Linked DNA regions of Saccharomyces cerevisiae S288C. The main gene of each other region encodes a partner of the protein of the gene in region 2 in a complex. Each region holds a gene or a part of one and is shown on either strand. Other genes may lie near its edges. A codon is read from its position in the direction of its gene.

What was found.
Region 1: the proteins of TIM10 (region 2) and TIM54 are in contact, whole or in part, in a cryo-EM structure (PDB 6LO8), measured with the Saccharomyces cerevisiae proteins. Residues at the interface, in NP_011869.1 of Saccharomyces cerevisiae: Glu53 (codon at 1,971), Leu54 (codon at 1,974), Asn55 (codon at 1,977), Lys56 (codon at 1,980), Asn57 (codon at 1,983), Ser59 (codon at 1,989), Ser60 (codon at 1,992), Arg64 (codon at 2,004); in NP_012481.3 of Saccharomyces cerevisiae: Leu73 (codon at 1,721), Ala74 (codon at 1,718), Glu75 (codon at 1,715), Glu76 (codon at 1,712), Ser77 (codon at 1,709), Tyr115 (codon at 1,595), Gly118 (codon at 1,586), Leu119 (codon at 1,583), Asp120 (codon at 1,580), Tyr121 (codon at 1,577).

What each region holds. Positions count from the first base shown.
Region 1 is NC_001142.9:332,242-336,201, reverse strand, and holds TIM54 (Tim22-complex subunit TIM54), read right to left. Parts: upstream 1,938-3,960; coding exon 501-1,937; downstream 1-500. Other genes in the region: retromer subunit PEP8, read right to left, coding at 1-304; LOG1 (Log1p), read right to left, coding at 2,108-2,845; ZAP1 (Zap1p), read left to right, coding at 3,129-3,960. UniProt on the Saccharomyces cerevisiae protein: Essential component of the TIM22 complex, a complex that mediates the import and insertion of multi-pass transmembrane proteins into the mitochondrial inner membrane.
Region 2 is NC_001140.6:114,926-117,715, reverse strand, and holds TIM10 (protein transporter TIM10), read left to right. Parts: upstream 1-1,814; coding exon 1,815-2,096; downstream 2,097-2,790. UniProt on the Saccharomyces cerevisiae protein: Mitochondrial intermembrane chaperone that participates in the import and insertion of multi-pass transmembrane proteins into the mitochondrial inner membrane.

The DNA.
Region 1 (3,960 bases), on a different chromosome or scaffold from region 2:
AGGAAGATGATGTGCTAGAGGTAACTTTTTTAGAAGATGAATTACCGCTCCCATGAGATTTTAACATATCAATGGATCCAATAACGGACACTTTTATGCCCAAGTGGTCTACCTTTTTACTATCCCGAACTCTCAAAGTAACAATTCCACCAAGGGATTCGCCATCTTCATAGACGGGCAAGCTTTCCTTCATTGATTTGTAACTGGAATTACTTGATCTTGTTGCAATGTCTACGTGTTTGCGAGATTCCTCATTATCGAAAAGGATCTCAATATCAATCGGCGGCTTGAAAAAAATACTCATAATGCTAATAATAGTTGTGCTTGGATTCTTTTACAATGTACACATTTTATTATATTTACAGATTTTATATATATGTATATGTGTGCATATATAAAAACTATTTCAACATGAGTAAAGGGAAATCTTCGAAAAGGGTTTGGTATATGTCAGACATAACGTCGATCGTGCATGATGATAAAACATAATATATATCCAATTAAATATCTGATTCTGGCTCTTCCTTGGGTGGTTTTTCGTAAACAAACATATGCTTCGTGATTCTAGGATCACATACTAATTCTTGGGTCCATTCGCTGTTCTTTTCTTTACCCTGTTTGACCCAGTTCTGTGGCCAATCTTTTTCTTCGTCCTTCGCCAAATCAATATCCTTTGCAATATCAAACGGTCTTATACGGGTTTGTCGAACACAGTTAACTACACTTGAACACACGTCCTCTACGTAGAAACGCTTCTGGTAAAAACGATGTATTCTCCTTGGAATGGTAGTAAAACCTATCAAGTTAGGTATTGGAATGACCAATAACGGCTGATTAATCAGAAGCGGGATATTTGTATTGGGGTTTCTTATGAATTCGCCATTTGGAGTTTGTAATTCCGAAGCGATTTGCAGGTCAGGGTATTGGTCTGAAGAAATAAATGGCTTCAAAAATTTTTGCGAATCCTCTGAGCTGTTTTCTTCATCAACCTTTAGATCATCTTGTACTTTGGCCTCTTCCAAAGCAGTCTCTTTCTCGGCATCCACCAGTTCCGTAGCACCGGATTCACTTACCTTTGATTCTATTTGATTTGCTTCTACAACCCCAGTCATCTTAGGCTCAGTGGATCCTGTTTTTTCGGTCTTCTCGATGGGTCCAAGCAAGCCTTCGTGAATACCGGCAATGTACTCCTTATAGGCGCCTCTACCTAAACAAATAACACCACCAGATAATATAGGGTCCTTTGTCAGGGCGTCTTCACTTATTATATGCTTCGGTTTTGGCATTGTATAGAAGATACCTATAACGTTTCTCCAGTCGAAGTTCTCCTTGAACTTTTTACCGATTTCTGGATCAAACGAGTCATCTTCTTCAGCAGGATCTTGAATGATTTTATTGAACGGTAGTAGTGATGAAATTTTACTGGTTGAAGAACCACTTGGTTTTGCTACCGTTTGGTTAGGCTCTTTAACTGGCTGCCCATCCGTCGATGCCAATATTTCCTTTCTCAATTCTCTGATTCTGTTGGCTACATTAGTTCTAATAATCCCTTGCCTATCCTCTTGAACTAATTCATAGTCCAACCCTGCATAATACAGTACAGGCTTAACATATCGTCTCCAAACTTTCAACGAACTCTCCAGATAATCATTTGGAGGAGGTGCAATAAAAACAGTGATCTTTCGTGGCACTTTGTCTACCTCCATGGACTCCTCTGCCAAAGGCTTCACCAAGTCTGTTGCATGGCTCAGAATCTGACGTTGCTTGTATTTGTCATAGGCTATGCCACCGATGGATACTGTTAACACAGACCAAAAGATCATCCAGTTTCGAGAAGGCAGCCTCAAGGCGGGTATACCAAGGGCTTTTAAAGCCGGATTGGTATAGCCAGGCTTCCTAATAGGCTTAGCAATAGGCTTTCCTGATTCAGAAGACATGGTCTATTGAGCTTCTTTTGAGAACAATGGACTTTAAAGCTATGATGTCTTTGCCATCAGTACTATTTTTTCCAGCCTTCGGGCTTAGAAAGACAGCTCCTAAAAATTTGGATTTTTCACCACATTATCTATACAGATCGTTTAAACTAGATACATGACTTACGTTTCTATTATTTAGCACAATCCTCGTGAGCGTGACCTTCGTCGCTCCAATTCAAATTGAAACGGCCCTCTGGAACGACGTACTTCTCTATTTTATCAACAACTTCCTGCGGAGTGGAGGCAACTTGAATGATTTCACCATTCTTCACACTGATGAACCGTTCTTGAATAGAGTGTTTGAGGAACTCCAATAATTTGTCATAGAACCCATCGATATTGAACAAGATAATTGGTTTATTATGAATCCCCAGTTGCGACCACGTGATACATTCCATGATTTCTTCAAAAGTCCCGTATCCACCAGGCATAGCAACAAACGCGTCACTCAAATTTGCCATCATTCTTTTTCTCGTATGCATATCTGGTACAATCGTTGTTTCCCCATACTCTTCAGAAATAGGAGTGGCGCCCTTATGATTTTCTACAGACTCCAACAATGCTTTATTAACATCTTCTTTATCCTCGTCTGTCCTTTCCTTAGACACAAGTGCATTTGGAATGATACCGTGAACCTGTCCGCTTAAATCAGGTCCCATCGTAGACCTTGCTATCTTGCCCATCAAACCAGTAGTGCCTCCACCGTATACCAATTTCCATCCCAGCTTATGGAAAAGGGCTCCTAATTCTTCTGCACTTTCTGAGTATAGCGCCTTAGCGCCAAATGAAGACCCGCAGTAAACACACACAGACTTGCCGCCTACTTGGCCACCACGGCTGCTATTACCTCCATTTTTTTCCATTGTCATCGCCGTTTCTTAGTACTGGATTGCCTGCGATTTACTCTAGGGATCTTCCTATTCAACTGTTGGAAATAATTCTCCTTCCTTAAACGCCCAAAACATGATTATATATCACTGCAGACGGAGTAGTTGACAGCAGTCATCTACCCTAAAGGTCATGATGAAACGTGCTTGGCAATATAAGATGCAACTGCAGTCACTGTGAATATAGGCCAGCGGCGAGACGGAAGCATTACACTTTTACTTTTTATGTGTTACGGTTTTTTAAATAGAAGAAGGATAGGAACTAATGGATGCGTTGACTCCCAGGGACTCCCCCAAGCGCGATGACTCGATGGCCACGAGTGCGGCCACTGCTGCTTCTGCCAAGCCTGATGCTCTGACGATAGGTAAAGAAGGCATTGTCCACGGGCACATCCATAACTACAACAACCTGACCTATATCCATGGTCACCTTCACCACAGCGCGCCTGTGAACGACAGTAGTGCTTCGGCAACACCTGCAGCCGCAGCTGTTGCTGATGCCGCTACTTCCGCATTTGCATCTGGAGCTAGCCATGATATGGGTGGTGATTGCCACGTCAATGAGAAATGCAAGGAGTACACCGACTGCCAACATTTCGAGTTCTTGAATTATCACAATAATCCGTCATTAACAAAATATAATGATACTGCAACGTATAATTCTAATAATCATTCTTTTGCAAACAATTTCCATTCGGTAGCTTCTGATCCGACAAGTCCCCAACAGAATTCTAAAAGCGACCTACCACGTAGAAAAGATTCTTGGTTTAACGACGATCTGATACTGCTGCCCTCTTCCAAGAAAAATAAACCGAACCCACCACCTGGATCCGATGATTGTTATTGTACGCCCAAGATTTTGGAAATATGTTGTGACGAAACTCATCCCAAAAGTGAGGCTAATATAAAACAAGGTGAATCTGATCAACCGACAAAGAAAGACATATCTGAGAACGGCAATGATGTTGCAATATTCACAGATGTAAAGAACGATCACTTGATGCCAAATTTTAACCTTCATGATCAGTACTGTAATAGTACCAATCACGACTCTCACAATCACAATAATACTGTACCAGATAGCTTTTCTCAGCTGA
Region 2 (2,790 bases):
TCTCGCTTTTTGCCCGTATTGGAATGTGAAGAGAAAAAAAAAATGATAAGAATTCTAAAAAAAGATACTCTTCGTTCGAATGGATGACTCTAAGAAGGGTAACAGACTTTCAATCTTCAAATAACATTATAATCTCTATTCTAGCCCTTAGAGGAGCATGTCATGCGTTCAGAACCTCCATTAATAGCTTACTTTATAACTTTCTATCAGTCACAAGTTAAACGTCGACAATTTTTGTGGGAAATGGTCTGTTTTTTTTCTTCAGTTAATAAATCTCGTTCTTGACTGCAGGTAATTAATGGTATCGTGATCGTTACCTATGCTTACACACTATAAGAATTTTCTTCGTGAGAATTGGCCCATTTCTCTGGTTCTTCTGAAGAGAGTTTTGCTGACCATCAATCAGCTTTACGAAAATTTACCGCCCAATTTCTTGCCAAAATGCCATCCATATTCCCATTCATTGGAATTCTTTCACTATTTTATCATTTCAATGTTCTTTGTAGCAACAGGCTCTTCTTTTTCACGCTTACTGTGATCATTTGTTATAAGTGCTGGTATTTTCTCTCTTCTGGAATTCCGTGCTATTGATATCACGACATGTGCGCTTCTCATGATTTTGCCGCCCAAGGCACATTTTGCCGTCTGTTTTTAACCTAATATTTATGTCGCGGGTATATTATCATATATTGCGTAAGAGGATGGTATTGCTGATGGGAAGTGGTCAACAAATTCAATAGGCACTGAAATGTAAGGGCTGACAATGTAATTGGATAAAGAAAGGCAACACATGAAAGGAAGAAAAAAAAAACGTTATTTATTATTATGTAAAACTATTGACCTCACCTTTGTGATTCACGCTGTCCTCGTGAAAAAACTTTTTTTGTTTTTGTAGACCTAATAAAAGAACCTTTTTTAACAATGTCCTAACAATAATTTCAACAGTTGCCAAACCTCAAATAGTGTTGGAATAAAAATCCACTATCGTCTATCAACTAATAGTTATATTATCAATATATTATCATATACGGTGTTAAGATGATGACATAAGTTATGAGAAGCTGTCATCGATGTTAGAGGAAGCTGAAGTGCAAGGATTGATAATGTAATAGGATAATGAAACATATAAAACGGAATGAGGAATAATCGTGATATTAGTAAATAGAAATATAGATTCCATTTTGAGGATTCCTATATCCTCGAGGAGAACTTCTAGTATATTCTGTATACCTAATATTATAGCCTTTATCAAAAATGGAATCCCAACAATTATCTCAACATTCACCCATTTCTCAAATAGTATGTTTTGGTGTTAAAGAAGAACATTGGAAACAAAGGAAAGGTAAGCATTAGCCCGGAAACAAAACAAGAGGAAGTAATATACACCTTTTTGGTTAACTTGTTCGTTCAGAAGAGCCCAAGTATGTAATTATTTTTTGCAAATCTTTCCTCAGTAACGATAACGACACGAAGGTAATATTTTAAAACATTTATCAACAAGTCACTAAATATAATCTGGGTCCTATCACTATTAGAGCTTCTATGGCCAAGTTGGTAAGGCGCCACACTAGTAATGTGGAGATCATCGGTTCAAATCCGATTGGAAGCATTTTTTGCATTGATTTCCCAATTCGTAGCTGATGATCACCCTCTGAAGCTATCGGACATTTTTTTTCTTTAATTTTTTCAGCGAGAGAGCTGGCAGTGAACGTACAAGAGCAAGCTCTCTAAAGAACTATTACTCTCCTCGTTCCCCTCTCATGTCTTTTAACAGATAAACAAGCAAAAGAAGGAACTATCATACTTAGAAAAACATGTCTTTCTTAGGTTTCGGTGGTGGTCAGCCTCAATTATCATCTCAACAAAAGATTCAAGCTGCGGAAGCTGAACTAGATTTGGTCACAGACATGTTCAATAAATTGGTTAATAACTGTTATAAAAAATGTATCAATACTTCTTATTCCGAGGGTGAGCTGAATAAGAATGAATCTTCGTGCCTAGACAGATGTGTGGCCAAATATTTTGAGACCAATGTTCAAGTCGGTGAAAACATGCAGAAAATGGGCCAATCATTTAACGCAGCCGGTAAGTTTTAGAAATGTGCATTAAAGCAGTAATGATAAGACGAAAATAAGAAAAGAAATCCATAAGCTGTTTTACTCGACTCAACGTTATAATTAGTATTATTGATTCATATCCTGTATATACAAGTAACATTATACTCTTTTCTGTACTTCATCTTTACCTTTTTATCTTACATGGCACATGTTGTTTGAAAACAAGATCATAGGTGGATAAAGCAAGCCGAATCTAAAAAAAAAAAAATGTCTCTATTGGAAAACTGAATGCATAACGATATTCCCTTTTCATGCAGATAACACTGACTAGTTTCAATTTGAAACGCATCTTCGTGTTATTTCACCGAAACGCACTCGGCTCAGCATGTTAAAAAGCACATCAATTTAGGGCTCTGCGCGTCCTTCTGCGTATTCTTCCTTGTAGAAATGCAATTAAATGGAGAGCAGAAATTTTTTTGTTACATATTGTTTTCCTTAAAGGGAAATATTAAAAAATAGTCTAAAATGAAGAGGATAGTAGAATTCCACCAATTTCTTTACGTTTTATATTATTCGTAATCTTTTGATCTGTTATTCATTTTTTCTTGTCACTCCGTTTCTAACATTTTTGACCATTTCTAAGACCAAACTGAGTAGAAGCTATTCATACTGTAAATTGGTATTTTAGCATCACATCAATAATCCAGAGGTGTATAAATTGATATATTAAGGT